Linked DNA regions of Oreochromis niloticus. Each later gene encodes a partner of the first gene's protein in a complex. Links are inferred from orthologs where the notes say so. Each region holds a gene or a part of one and is shown in the gene's direction. Other genes may lie near its edges.

What was found.
Region 2: cdc45 (region 1) and mcm6 share a complex: the UniProt entries of both Homo sapiens proteins name them as parts of the CMG helicase complex. The link is inferred for Oreochromis niloticus from reciprocal best matches to the Homo sapiens genes CDC45 and MCM6.

Annotation. Positions count from the first base shown.
Region 1 is NC_031977.2:25,784,059-25,791,830, forward strand, and holds the start of cdc45 (cell division control protein 45 homolog), read left to right. Parts: upstream 1-4,756; 5' UTR 4,757-4,947; coding exon 4,948-4,998; intron 4,999-5,109; coding exon 5,110-5,169; intron 5,170-5,559; coding exon 5,560-5,652; intron 5,653-5,904; coding exon 5,905-6,042; intron 6,043-7,078; coding exon 7,079-7,225; intron 7,226-7,321; coding exon 7,322-7,380; intron 7,381-7,465; coding exon 7,466-7,514; intron 7,515-7,609; coding exon 7,610-7,671; intron 7,672-7,765; coding exon 7,766-7,772. UniProt on the Homo sapiens protein: Required for initiation of chromosomal DNA replication. Core component of CDC45-MCM-GINS (CMG) helicase, the molecular machine that unwinds template DNA during replication, and around which the replisome is built.
Region 2 is NC_031982.2:7,553,897-7,561,485, forward strand, and holds the start of mcm6 (DNA replication licensing factor MCM6), read left to right. Parts: upstream 1-4,493; 5' UTR 4,494-4,648; coding exon 4,649-4,746; intron 4,747-4,919; coding exon 4,920-5,066; intron 5,067-5,218; coding exon 5,219-5,329; intron 5,330-5,570; coding exon 5,571-5,658; intron 5,659-5,747; coding exon 5,748-5,909; intron 5,910-5,996; coding exon 5,997-6,162; intron 6,163-6,261; coding exon 6,262-6,410; intron 6,411-6,492; coding exon 6,493-6,643; intron 6,644-6,749; coding exon 6,750-6,891; intron 6,892-7,039; coding exon 7,040-7,181; intron 7,182-7,291; coding exon 7,292-7,399; intron 7,400-7,538; coding exon 7,539-7,589. UniProt on the Homo sapiens protein: Acts as a component of the MCM2-7 complex (MCM complex) which is the replicative helicase essential for 'once per cell cycle' DNA replication initiation and elongation in eukaryotic cells.

The DNA of each region.
Region 1 (7,772 bases):
TTGTTTCTGAAACCCTTGAGAGCTACACTAGCACATTAGCAGTTGTCTTTCTAGTCCCGTAATTACCCAGCAAACATGGTCAAAACCCAGATGATATCTCCCAGGTCAAAAGAGGTCGCAGTACGACCACAAAAACTAAACCGTAGACAGATGTATGTCAGTGTTGTTTCAGCGTAGAATAGAGGCAAGGTCAGACAGCCTCTTGCAAAGTGAGAAATAATAAATTGGGTTACTGCAAAAACACTTTATATTTTTACAGTTTTCTGCATCTAAACTGTATTTCATTTGTGGCACAGTGAACTTTATGCATTGAACTTTTACAATTATCCCCTCCCTGTCCTCGATGTCAGTGTCATAGACTCAGGAAAGCTCAGGAAAAGAAAGAGGTCACACTTGACATGATTATTTTTTCTCCTGATTCCTCCTCTCGAGACACTTCTTTGTTTTATTCTCATCAATAAGGAGATAGTGAGGAAAAAAATCTTGAACACAAGCTTTCTCTTACTAGAAAGTCCAACAATGATGTCAGTTAATCTCATGTATTTTTCCAACTGTGACTTGATGTCTGAAAATTCTGCCGTGACAGTTATTCAGTGTCGAAATGTTTGCTGGGTACAGATGGGATATCTCATTATCATGATGCTGTTCTCCACGTGGCCCAGCTCTGCACACTCTGTGTATTGTGCCTATAGATCACATACTTTACTCACAACAGCTGAGCAGGTTATCTACACAGCCACTGTACAAATAGTCCACCACTCATCAGTCTCTGGCTCAGCTGCTGTGAAAGAGTTTTTCATGTGAGAATCACTTTGTGATTGTTTTATAAACTTGCAACTTTGTAAAGAAGTAGGGTTGAGGCTTAAAGGGAAGCTAACTGCACTCTGAGGTTCATTTCTGTGCATAGACGCCTCCTCTTGTGAGAAGAATCGAAACTCAATGCCTGAGAATTTTTCACCATCTGTTTCGGTCTTTGTGGTTTTGGAGCTGGCTCAGGCTTAAACAAACACTGGGAGCAAACATCAGTGTGTTAGGGGTCAAAGTCCTTGACTGTCCTGTCTGTTCACAGATCAAAATAGCACAAACACACCTAGTAAAACCTCAGAGAAGCATGTTATGACAAGATGACACAGACAGTAAGATGTGATTAAATGATCCAGTGTAATGGAACCTTTGAGCTTAGATGCTAGTGACCACCAGACCGTGTCTCTCTTGGGGTTTCTGGGTAAAACTGCATCTGTCGTGATGCCTGTTATAGCATATCACAACACTAAGATACTTTGTGGTAGAATTTTGTTGTTTTTGATAAGGAATTGGGTAAAGACACAGGATTGTCTTTGTTATACCTGCAAATTAAGAATGTGAAATTAACTTTATGCTGCCATAAAGTGCAGTGGCAGCAGCAGCCTTTCAGTTTAAACTAAGCCTGGCTTGATGTTGGCTGGTCCCATGATTAAATCATAGCTATCAAGAAGTTAAATATTACTTTGACTTTCCCATCTTTTCTGTGGTGTTTTGATGCTTTGATGATGTAAAACTTTGAAAAAAGTCACCACTTTATAGGTAAAACCTTCTTAAACTGCTGAGCACTGTTGTTAAAACAAAAGTGCAATTAATAGGGACTATTTTCAGCTGCGGATGAATAAACATATAACATTCCAGTAGTTTTTGGACAGCAGTGAAGCTCTGTGGCACAGAGGAAAACAGTATTTGTTTTGGTTTTGAACATATATTGGGTTTAGTGATTAAAAGTATATAACACCTCCAAGTGATTCTGTTAAATGAACTTTCATTAGTGCAAACAACTAAGCACTCCTCTTGCATTTAAAGCCAAGTTAACGTAAAACACATTGATCACGCTTATTTATTTTTACTTTATCGAATGCTTTAAAACTTTGTCTTCCTATAATATATGTTCAATGTTCCCATTTTTTGATTTTTTTTTAAATAACTTCTCTGTAAAAAGTTCTCCACAATATTAACATCCTGATGTAGCAGTGCTGCTTTACGCTTCTCACAGTTTTTCCAGTGCCTGCTTTGCTTTAAATGATAAAATCATCTCTGGTGTAACAGGACAGCTCAGCCAATCACGTTATTCCAAGTCACCATAACTGTAAAGCGAGTTAAACGAGTCTTCTCAGGCTTACTGTAGATGGGGTACTGTAGGTACTGTTTTAACCTCTCCAGGCGATGGTGCTACCCTCCCAGTGCTCCTGCTGGTCAGGTTTTTCTCTCCGGCATGTAAACTCCTCGATCGTAATCTCAGACATTTAACACTACAATTTGTGGTTCGGGCGTATTTTGAGTTTTTATTTATTTAATGTATTTTTTTTTTTTCTGTTTGTGTGTTGAACCGGCCAAAGTTTTGCACGGTTAACCCGAGCATAAAAGCAGCTGGATCTCAGTGGTTACAGACCAAACTTGGCATAAAGAAAGCGGATGAATTTTGTGCCTTTGTTTACTACGTTCCTCTCAGTTTATGAATGAAGTATATGCTGCATGTTATGGTGTATGCTCTCTGTCATGTAACTTTTTTTCCTTAATCTACCTTTTTTTTTGTTTGTTTTTGTTTCCAGTGTATTCACTTGTAAAGAAACTACACAGTGAATATGGCATGCTGCTTTTTTTTTTTTAACCTCAGAAAGAAACGTGTCATTTCCTTTTACTCAGTGGATTAATTGTTGGTGGACTCAAAAGTGAAGACGTGTGTGGATAATGTCAAATTTTTACAAAATGAGACAAGAGGAGAGAAATCGTATCTGAATTTCTTTGACAGATGTTTTGGGGTTGGTGTACAAGTATGTTTACTTTTGGGGGAATGCAGGATTTTACTTGAATTTTTAATATTTGTAACTTTAGAAGTGGTTAGGATGAAAATGGGAGCAAAGTTGTGGGTAAACTTTGAAGGTATGACTCACCCTGAAGTCGGACATACACATTTTTCCTCCAGCCTGTAGTGGTGTCTATAATCTTAAATAAAAGGAGCTAAATGTCCATAGTCAAAGAAAAAAATCTGAATTTTAAAATGTAATTTGGGGATCTCTAAGCTACAGAGTCAAGCACCATAAAGACAAAAAGATTTCTACAGCTGATTTCTACCAATCTGACCAACTCGTACTAGAATTGTCTTGATGAATAAACAAGGAAAAATCTGTAAGTTAGATTTTTGGGGTGAACTGTCCCTTTAAGGCAAAAAAAGTTCATTAGGCTGCTGCGTTTTCATAAAATCCTGCATGTTTCACACATATTTTTGTCATTGCTTCCATCCATTCTGTTAATTTATGTAATTTCAGGGCATTCAGAGTGATGTTGGGGGATTCTGCTGAGACTTTACTGTTTGCTTTGTTCATGCCATGATCGTACAGCTCATTCTGCTTATGCTTATGTGCTGTTTGTGTTGTGATGCTTTTAATGAATCTCCCCATGACACTGAATGATCTCTTGTCCTTTGTGTGTTTTCTTTGGAGTCAGCAGTCCTGGTTTTGAGTTTGTATGTGATGATGGATGATTAATAAATGAGTTTAAAACGCATGTGCATATCAAATTATGACACACCAGTATTTGTAGATGATGTATTGGGAGATAATGTCCTGGATATTGTATGTATTTACATATTGTGTGTGGTAATAATTCAGATTTTTAAACCTCTAATCAAAGCTGTCACGCGTGCCACCTCTCTTTTTGTAGTTTTTCACCTATTAAAATCAAACTGAAGCATGTAGTTCTGCTGGTTGCCAAAAATATAGAAACAAGTCTCCTCTTTGGAAATTATTTTACGGTATTTTAAGTAATGACTTCCCAGTGTAATGGACAGTTGGTGGGTGGATAGTTTAGCAGACGTTAGGGTGTGTAAATCAGATTCAGGTAGTGACACACAAAAAAACAATTGAACACACCTTTTTTTTTATATATATAATAGAATTCAGTTCGACTTGTTTTGTGAGTTTGCGGGAGAAGTTTTCTTTCAAGGCTTTTTGCCAGACAAGCTCATGAGATACATTTATATAATATTTAAGTGGAAAGAGGTGGGGCAAAATCCTTTCCAATATGTTTTAATCTAAATCAATGAAGTACTTCTTAAAATTTCAGTCTATAACAGCTTTTATCATTAAAGTGTAAAAATGTGTGATGACTGCCACTTCTATAGCTATGCCAATGACAACATCTTTAATAGTACATATTTGTAAAGTGTGTGTCACTACTGAGCTCCAGATTTACATTAATAAATTTATGCTCGGTTAAGTGAACCTCTCATATAAATCCACATTTTTTTCTGTTATTGTAACCACACAGTGGAAACTCTACAATTTTGTGAATGTGTGAAGTGTGTGCATAAGTCATTGTTTTAGAATTTTTACAGACTTAAAACAGTATGGTACAGAGATCATAGTTAACTCTGTGAGGTTTTTGCTTTTTTATTAAATTGTTTAATCTATATCTTTCTCCAAAATATAGAAGTAGAGAGAGGTTACCATCTATAATTATTTATAATATTATAAATTCACTCTTGAGGTAATATAAATGTAAACGCTAATGTTAAAATAATATTGTGTTCTTAATAAAGTCTAAAGGAGTTTACACATATTATAAAAACATCGTTATGACATCGTTTTAAATAAATTAATAAATATTTCAAATCAATATAAATAAAGCTATAACTTTATTTCAGCTCTTTTTAGTCCCAGCACTGCTCTGTTTTCTCAACCTGGTAGGCGTGACTTCCGGCGTTTGACGTTGCTGATTTTCTTTTCTTTCTGATTGGTCGGGAGTGACGTGTAGATTTGGCGCCACATTTCCAACAGGGAACAGAGCGGCATCGCTGTGTGTGTATTGTCAAAGCTCCGAGCCTGACAGCAAACCAAAATAACCCGCAGTTTATGCCACCTCAGGGTGATTAGATTAGGCTCGTCTTATTTCAATAGTTTTAATCGACTGACTTCTCTGAAAATGTTCATCGCGGACATAAGAAAAGATTTTTATGAAGTTGTCGCCAACCAGGTAAGGCTAACTCTTAACATTAGCCAACATTGCCTAGCAGCTAGGAAACTTAACATCTGACATCGCAAACTGAAATCGCTTACATTATAAACCTTCTCGTGCTACTTACAGAGAGTCGTACTCCTGGTGGCACCAGACATTGACGCTCTCTGCGCCTGTAAAATACTGCAGGTAAGACAATAAAATGTTAGCAAGCGGCAGCTCCTGTAGCCTTTGCGTGCACAGTCTTTGATTGTTTTTCCCTGTTATTTTGCCTCTCTTGTTCTAGTGGCTTTTATGCATGATGACGGATATTTGCGCTCTTAAACTAAGGTCATTGTAGAGGGTAAACAGAGAGCACGCTGATTAAATACTTCTAGTTATTATGGACTTATGGACACCCAACCGTACTGTCGTAATGGGGAGGTTACCATCTGTTCATGTGTTAACTGGGAATATTTAAAAGTACTGACAGTAGGTTTCAGTAAGTGCCTGTTGCAGTTTATGGAGCTTTTTTGACTTTTACTGTGTTCAGAGTAATTATAAGCTGATGTAAACACTGACTGCTTGTGTCTTCACTAGGCCTTGTTTCACTGTGACCAGATCCAGTATACACTTGTGCCAGTTACAGGCTGGCAGGACCTTGGCACTGCCTTCCTTGAACACAAAGAGCAGGTATACTTAAATAAGACCAGAAGGCTGTGCTGCAAAGCGAGATTGACGTTAACACGTTATTTTAAGCCAGTATGAAGGTGTCTCTCTTTTAGCTTTTTGAGATCACCATGGAAACGTTTGCTTTTTTTATGTGTTTCTGCTTGAGAACCTGAAGAGGAAAGCTTTGTAGTACACTACTCTGAGCCTGTATATAAATATATGACAGTAAACACTGAACCTTGTGTATTGTGTTGGCTGATTTTTGTGCTGCAGTTTCGATACTTTGTTCTCATCAACTGCGGAGCAAATGTTGACCTCCTTGAGATGCTGCAGCCAGATGATGACTCCATCTTCTTCATCTGTGACACTCACCGGCCTGTAGATGTGGTCAATGTCTACAATGATACCCAGGTGATGTGCAATGGTTTGCTAAATCAGGCTACATCCCCACTAATAAGTTCACATAAGTTCACGGGCTAGGGTCTACCCCACAGAGCCTCAGAGTGGCACAGGGATTCACTCAAGGCATGAGAAGAGAAGGATCAGATGGTGTCAGGGCTGTAGGACTCAGCTCAGTGGCAGAAGTTTGATGAGGATGTGGATGCAGTGTTCGACCCTACAGCTAAAGGGGACGTAAAAAGTTTTCGAACCATGATGGCCATCATAGTGAGCATGGTAGTGGAGACGTTTGGAGTGCAAGATGAAAGAAAGGCCAAGTTGATGTATTATTTTAAAGCAGAAGGGGGAAAAAACAATTCTGTATATGTGAATTAAAACCCCCCCCAAAAAAACATGCTTCTCACCTCATCAGTCTCATCAGTTTGTCTCAGGAGCCAAATAACAACACACACATTTCCTCCAATTCTGTTTGGCGATGTGTATAGTCTGTCCACTGGTATGTGTGTGTTTAACAATATTAACCACTAGTTTGCCTGTAGAGCCAGGCTCTTCAGAAGGTGTTTGTGACCATTGCTTAGTCCACAGGAGAATAGCCAAGGTAAAGAAATGTAAAACCTTTACAAGCATCAAAGTCCAAAACTTTAGAAATAGTTGTTGTTAAAATAAGTCCAAAATACATAAATCAACCATTTTTACTCCACATTCTCTCCAGCATCTCGGTAAAGTGCCCAGCTAGTTAAGTATAAGATTTTTCTTAATTTCTGTGACTGATAATGTCCAGCGGGCAAAGTTAGCGTAGGGGCCTTTAAATATGTAGATAAAGTCTCCTTTTTGCCCATCAGGACTACAGATGGAAGCACCCTTGTGTTATTGTGCTGTACTGTATTTGCATTCTGGTACAAAACCTCAAATAGTTCATTATCTTTATGCATTTCACTGTAAACAATGATCCATTTGCACCTGAAGTTCATTGCATGTAAGATTAACAATACTCCCACTTGTTTGTGGAAGTGAGCGTTACATTAACTCTCTGTCTTCTGCTCAACAGATTAAGCTGCTCATCAAACAGGATGACGACCTCGGCGTGCCGTCGTATGACGATATCTTTCGAGATGAAGATGAGGAAGGAGAAGACTCTGGAAATGAGAGCGATGAAGGCTCAGAGCCGTCTGGGAAACGCAGGAGATTTGATGAGGTACGCATTAAACCGAGTAGGTGCTGCCCGCTGGAATGAACTGGTAGAGTGAACTGTTAAGGCTGTTACACTGGGGCTGTGGTCCTGTGTTTGCAGGGGGCTGTCGAAAGGAGAATTGAAAGGCAGCGAGCGAAGAGGGAGTGGGAGGCTCGAAGGTGAAGTGTTTTTACTTAGTTGTTTGGTTCTTTCTCTGCACAGCACAACTGTTGAATGCAAGCTTACCTTTCATTAATTTCACAGGAGGGAAATCCTGTTTGACTATGAGCAGTATGAATATCACGGCACCTCGGTGAGTTTTGACAACCTCACATGAGTAATATAGGAACATTAATGTTACCTGAAATTCTGAATGAACTCCTGAATTTTCATTTGTTTTCCTGTCAGGCTGCGATGATGTTTTTTGAGCTTGCGTGGGTTTTGACTAAAGATACCAAGGACATGCTGTGGTGAGCTTTCTGAGGAGATGTCATCTTTCATGGCAAACATTCTTGAGATACAGTTTATACGGTCTGTTAGATGTGCACTGCTTCTTCTTTGCAGGTGGGCC
Region 2 (7,589 bases), on another chromosome or scaffold:
CTCTGTATATTTTATATTTTATATATCTTATTTTATTGTTTACTCTATTTCATTTGTAAAACATGTATATACACACTCACACACACACACACACACACACACACACGTAGAAAAACATATTTAGTACACACATTCAGTAATGTATATACCTTTATATATGGTACATATATTTATTACTTTTTAGATTAACCATTTTTATATTTTGCTTGTTGCACGTTATTGTATTTTGCACAACTCTGTTGCTTGTGAAGCTTGCACACAAGAATTTCACTCGCATGTACTGTACCAGTGTACCTGCACATGTGATGTGACAATAAAGGTGATTTGATTTGATTTGATTTGATTTGAAATGAAGCAATAATTTTTTTTCTTCCCACTTCCTCTATGGACCACCACTGTGCAATACCAATTCTATGTGCAATAACCCAACTGTATATACACAACACTATTTATTACATATTAGTTTTTTTTTTTAAAACTGGCTTGTATATTTGTACATTTTATATATATATATCTTTTTCCCTCTGTTAATACTGTCCATATGTATATAGCGCTGCAGAACTGTACCCCCCCCCCCCAGCATGTTTTGCACTGAGTAGATGCTCTGTATCTCATTGTACAACTGTATAGTGACAATAAAGGCATTCTATTCTATTCTATTCTATACCTAGTAGGCGCTGACACTGGCTGAGCTGACATGTAAAATAAAAATATGCAGAAACATGAGTGTTCACTGCCCCCCAGTGGTCATGTGGTACATTTATAAGTTGAATCCAATTACTTGTGTCCTTGTGCACAGTTTTGACTACTGGGGGTTCCAGAGTGTGGGGGCCCCTCCCTGGGGCCAGTAGGCACTCCCTTCCTTCCCTCCCCATCCTCAGCTGCCTCCCTCTTCCTGCTCCACCAAAGCCACCCACACACGCAGGGCTTGGGGTGCAGGTGTGTCACCAGGGTGCAGGGGAGGCACTCCCCCTCTGTCCCCTTCTGGCCGCCTGTGCCTCAATTTTATTCCGCAACCTAGACATCCACATTACTCATACTCTCATAACACATACCTATAGGGCCTTGGGGGTGGTCACGTTATACAGCGTCCAGAGGACGGTCTGTGTATTCAAACCCACCTCTGGCGCTGGTGCCCTACCCTCAATTTTAAATGCATATAGACACTGAGGGTTTTCGGGAGGAGCCGTGCTGCTCTCTGGCAGGAAGCACCTTGCCCTCCTGTGTTTTAAATGCACTTTAGAACAGCACGCAGCAACACTACATATGAGTGGGCAGAGGGAAGTTTGGGGCCTTCACTCACCCCCGTTCTGTTAACCGTCGGTGCTGGGGGGCTGGGAGGAGGTGCTGGCCGTCGGATTGGGGTCTGGGATGAGGGGCCTCCCTGCTACTGCAGATAAGGAGGCGGTCTGCTTTCCTCCACCCCAGAGAGAAGGGTTACATCTCCTGGGTCTAGGTACGGTTTGCCCCTCTGGGGGCAGGGGTACCTGGACCTGGGATATAGAGTATGTTTGGGGAGTGTGAATGTGTGTATAGTGTCTATTTGTGTCTGTTTCTACGTCGGGTGAGTGCCGAGTATTTGTTTGTGTATATGGGGGTGGGAATGCATGTTTGTGTCTCCGTCCGCCTGTTAGTCTGTGTCTATATGTCAGGTTGGGTCTTACACTCCACCTCTCTGGAAACATCTCAGGCTCTCCGAGGTATGGAGGCCTATCTCCCCTCACCACACTCTGCCGGTGGCTGATGCCCTCAGATGTTGGTGTGTTGGTGGTTCTTGGTGTCTGGGGCTGGGCACTCATGTATGTACCGACTCACTCCTGGTGGCCGATTGGTGGGGGTTGGTGCCTGTGGCCCGGCTGGGCCCCTTCCGGGGGGTGGGGTGCCCTCAGGCCTCTGGGCCTGAGGCCCGGTCCTCTCTGGCACAGCTGGCTGCCGGCAGAGCCCGCGGGCACGAGACTGCAACCCCTCTGGCCTCTGCTCCGTGGCTGCTGGGTGATCTCTCGTTTGGGGCTCTTCTCAGCTCTTCCCAGGAGGGTGGCATTAATTAATATTTAGTATCTACTGTTAGCTAGTTTATTGTGATGGTGTTGTATTTATTATGTTGCTCTTTTTTGTTTGTTTTCTCGTCTGTTTTTCTTATCTCCATACAGGTGATCCAGGTGTTTTGTTTGTTTTTCTTTTTTTTCCTTCCCCCCTTTCTCACCATCTCTTCGCCCCTCTATTTTTCTTTCTCTCCCTCTCTTTCTTTCATTCTTTCTCCCTGTCCTATCCCCCAGTCATGTCTGTCCCGTCTGTAACAACCGAAAATAAAATAAAATAAAAACATAATTATAATAAAGGTCAATCAAATGGACCAATATGGCAAGGCCATGAAGATGCACTTGGTAAAGTAAATCCGCTTGGCATCTTTCTTGGCCTTCAGACAACAATTCTGATGGCTAAAGATCCAAACGGGACAGGCAAAAAAAAAAAATAAATACATAAATAAAGCTTTGAGGCACAAACACAGAAAAACATTCGCTACTGCATCAAATAAGTTGATTCTCTGGGATTTTTTCAGTCTTTTATTCCCATCTAACAAATCCTCACTTCTAACTGGTGACCTCTGGAGCAGCCTTTTTCTTTGGATGGAAACCACTAGTGGAAGAGACAAATGACATGTAGGCTTGTATAAAGCAGTTAAAACAGCTTCACCACAGACATCTGCAGCAGTAAAATGCTTTCGGTTTTTAAATCAAAGTACATTTACTCAAACCCAAATTCCCTTTGGGGTTTAGCATCCATTGTAAAACTGCAAAATTGAAAATAAGGGAGCGGCTGAAAGTAGCTTCTACTCAAAGGAAAAGGCTTACAGTGAGTTTTACTAGGAAAGGAGGAAAAAACATGTTGGCTTGGCAGAGAGATTGAGCTGGGAAGGATTTGCAGCAGGTTACGGTGGTTAAAGATAGGATGGAAATGTATTAGCGAGTGAAGAAAATGTCTTGATAAGGTGGAAGGAGTACTTTGAGGGGCTGATGAGGAAATGAGAGGAAAGTGCAGAGGATTAGTAAGGAAGAAGTGAAAGTAGCTATGAAGAAGGGTGAGTGGACATACCTGTGGAGGTATGGGGATGACTAGGAGAGAGGACAGTGGGTGCATTAACAAGATTGTTTAACACAATCCTGGAGAGCGAGAGGATGCCTGGGGAATGGAGAAGAAGAATACTAGCACTAGTTTTCAAGAACAGTGGTGATATGCAGAGTTGTAGTAACTACAGAGGGATAAAGCTGATGAGCCATACTAAGAGGATATGGGTAAGAGTTGCTGAAGCTAGGTTAAGAAGAGAAATGTGATAGTGAGCAGGACTATGGTTTCATAGCACTACAGATGTGATGTTTTCTTGGAGAGTGTTCATGGAGAAGTACAGAGAAGGTCAAAAGGAGTTGCACTGTGACTATGTGGGTCTAGAGAAACCATATGATAGGGTGGTGAGAGAGATACCGTGGCAGAGAAATATGTGAGGGTGGAGCAAGACATCAGTGAAAAAAGAACCAACTTAATTGAATTATTTCAATTGGTAACACCTAATTTAATTAAGTTCTTTGAAATGAAGTTAATACATTAGATAAATCAGTTGTGTTACTCTATGTATTAACTTCATTTCAAAGAACTTAATTAAATTAGGTGTTACCAATTGAAATAATTCAATTAAGTTGGTTCACCTATTTTCTTTTTTCAGTGATGTATCAGGACAGCAAGACAGGGGTGAGAGTGACAGATGGGTTCAAGGTGGGGGTGAGACTACATCAGGGATTGGCTCTGATCCCCCTCTTATTTTGATGAGGTCAGGCAGGAGTTTCCATGGAATATCAAGTTTGCAGGTTACACCGTGACAGTTTGAGCTGGAGTTGGCAGTGTTTAAGAGGTTAGGATTTTCACTAGGCATGACCAGAATGGACACGATCAGGAATGAGTATATCAGAGAGGCAGGGTGGGTTGATCGGTTTGGAGACAAAGTAAGAGAGGCAAGACTGGGATATTTTACACATGTGCAGAGGAGGGAGAGCAGAAATACTGGGCAAAGGATGCTAAATATGGAGGAGGCAAGCAGGAGGAAAACAGGAAGATCACAGAGAAGATTCATAGATGGAGCTGGATGATCCAATGAGGCAACTCCTAGGAAGAAGAAGATGATGATGATAATGATGACGACATACTAATATTAAATATTATGGCCGGAAATGGCTCAAGTGCTAAGTTTACTGCGACGCTGTCACTCAGCTCATTCTTCATTTGTAGCCTGTCTGTATAACGCACGTGCTCGACAAAGACACGCGCACACTGAGATAACAGCTCGGTCTAGCCCCGTCTACAGCTGCTATTGGTTAGCACAGGAAGCGTATCGCGGGAAAAAAGGCAGCAGGACCCCGCGTCAATTTACGTTTCCGCTTCTAATTGGCTACGAGCTCAGAGACATTTCCATAACGTCGCAGATTGGTCGAAAGCGGCGCGCCAAACATCACGTGGTCTCGCTTTTCGCGCGAAACCGGGCTCGCTGTTGTCCGGAGCTGAGCGTGCTGTGTGTCAGAGAGGAGAGGAGCAGCTCGTGTCGGTTTTGCAAACTTCTTTTTGGATTCTCTTTGTTGTCGCAGTTTGACGGACTTGCAGCATGGATGTCGCCACAGCCACCGCGGAGACTGCCGGGGCGATGGTGAAGGACGAGCTGGCCGAGAAGTGCCAGAAGTTATTCCAGGCTTTCTTAGAGGAGTAAGTGAGGCAGCAGCGACCGTGTCGTATTGTTGTCGGCCGAAACGTGCTTGGCTTGACATCGCTCTTTTAATCAGCAATTATAAGGATCGAGTGCTGCTTTGATCGGCTGCTATTGGTGTCTTTTCGCTGCTTTTTCTTAACTCTCTCTCGCTTCCTGCGTCACCCTGCAGATTTCAGAGCGGGGATGGGGAGGTGAAGTATGTCCGGGAGGCCGAGGAGCTGATCAGGCCTGAGAGGAACACCCTACTGGTGAGCTTCACCGACTTGGAGGGCTTCAACCAGGAACTGGCTACCACCATCCAGGAGGAGTACTACAGGTGAGCAGGCCACATGACCACCAAGTCATGGGTGCTTCCCTCATATCTAATCCAAATACTGAGGTGGGAGAGTGCTCTGCTGCATTTCAAACCATCAGTTCAGTGCTGTGGAGATAAGCTGTGGGATAACCTGAAGGATTCTCTGTTTCCAGAGTGTATCCCTACCTATGCAGAGCAGTGCGCAACTTTGCTCGGGATCACGGGAACGTTCCTCTCAACAAAGAGTTCTACGTCGCTATCGAGGATCTGCCCACCAGACACAAGTAAGACACTGTTAACCAAAACCACCATGTACATCTCCATTTATCTGGTCTGAGCTGCCGTTTATTCAGCTAGATTGCTTTAGTGTAAAGATATTTGTAGAAATGTCTGCTTGGCTTGAATAACTTGGAACTAAATGGTGTTTAAGTTGTGGTGCATAAAGCAGAAATGCTACATCTCACACTGGTAGATGTTAATGGGAATGAAATGCCAAATCTGATCCTTTTCCTGTGTTAAATGTAGGATCCGTGAGTTGTCCTCCATGCGTATTGGCAGCCTGGTGAGAATCAGCGGTCAGGTGGTGAGAACGCACCCAGTCCATCCTGAGCTGGTGAGATGTTTATATCAGTGAAGAAGACACAAAGTTCAGTTTTTCGCTTGTCTTTTGCCATTAAACCCATTATGCGTCCTTTGGTGCAGGTGAGCGGTACCTTCCTGTGCATGGACTGCCAGGCAGTGATCAAAGATGTCTCTCAGCAGTTCAAATACTCTCCTCCGACCATCTGCAGGAACCCCGTGTGCAACAACCGCTCCCGCTTCCACCTCGACACGCACAAATCCAAGTTCATCGACTTTCAGAAGGTAACTGTGATAAAGGACGTGTGCCTGTCTGTCTGCATGGATGAATGAGTCTGATTCTGACCCTGTGTACCCTGTTTGTGTATCCAGGTGCGTATCCAGGAGACACAGGCGGAGCTGCCCCGTGGTTCGATCCCACGCTCTCTTGAGATCATCCTGAGGGCAGAGGCTGTGGAGACGGCTCAGGCTGGAGACCGCTGTGACTTCACTGGGACCCTGATTGTCGTGCCGGATGTCTCACAGCTCAGCACACCTGGTACTTTTTAAAATTTTAACCATTTATAATCAAAACTATGTCTTGTGGTGTGTTTTTGTTTTGTTTTGGTTCTCATGACTGTATGGATGTTACTTCCAGGTGTGCGAGCAGAGACCAGTACCCGTGTAGCAGGAGGTCCTCAGGGCTTTGAGTCTGAGGGTCTGAGAGGACTGAAAGCTCTGGGAGTCAGAGAGCTGTCATACAGGCTGGCCTTCCTGGCCTGCAACGTGGCGCCCACCAACCCACGGGTAAGAAGCGCTCGCCCCTGTGCCTAAAAATGCAAACGGCTACAAATCTTGCTGTGTGATTACAAATACGTCTTTATCACAGTTTGGCGGTAAAGAGCTGCGGGAGGAGGAGCAGACAGCTGAAAGCATTAAGAGCCAGATGACGGAGAAGGAGTGGGAGAAGGTTTTTGAGATGAGCCAGGACAAGAACCTGTACCACAACCTGTGCACCAGCCTCTTCCCAACCATCCACGGTCAGTGATAGAACCCCCGTCTAGCCTTTTTCTCCAATGGAGGATGCTCTCGTAGTTCTTTATCAAAGCTGTGACTTGTGAGTTAAACGTTAACGTGATGGTGCAGGTAACGATGAGGTGAAGCGCGGCATCCTGCTGATGCTTTTTGGAGGCGTTCCCAAGACGACCATGGAAGGGACCTCGCTCAGAGGAGACATCAACGTGTGCGTTGTGGGAGATCCAAGTACTGCCAAGAGCCAGTTCCTCAAGTATGTCACACAGTTTCCACCTTCACTGATTAGCTTTGCATAAAGTTTTTCTTTGTTCCATCTTCTGGCACAAATACTTTTCAGTACTCTCTTTGCTGTAGACATTTGTTGTACAGCATTGTTGATTTGAATGTGTGTGCCTGTGTAGGCACGTGGAGGAGTTCAGTCCCAGAGCGGTGTACACCAGCGGCAAGGCCAGCAGCGCCGCAGGTCTGACGGCGGCCGTGGTCCGAGACGAGGAGTCGCACGAGTTTGTCATCGAGGCTGGAGCTCTGATGCTCGCCGACAACGTGAGTGCTGCGACTTCTGAAGAACAGTGACGGATGTATTATTATGGAAAAAAAAAAAGTTTCTTTATGTAATTAGTGCAAGTAAAACTTGTTAACTGGTTTGATTTCAGGGTGTTTGCTGTATTGATGAGTTTGATAAGATGGACCTCAAAGACCAGGTGGCCATCCATGAAGCCATGGAGCAGCAGACCATCAGCATCACCAAAGCCGGAGTCAAGGTGACGCTTTCAAAGCTTTATGCTTTGAACACACTTTAAACACTTTTACGCAGCACAAGTGGAAGTTAAACTGCTATCAAATTCGATCGCTCGTCTCTGCAGTAGAATAACCAGACCGTTCCTCCGCTTCTCTCCTCAGGCTACCCTGAACGCTCGCACATCCATCCTGGCTGCTGCTAACCCTGTCAGC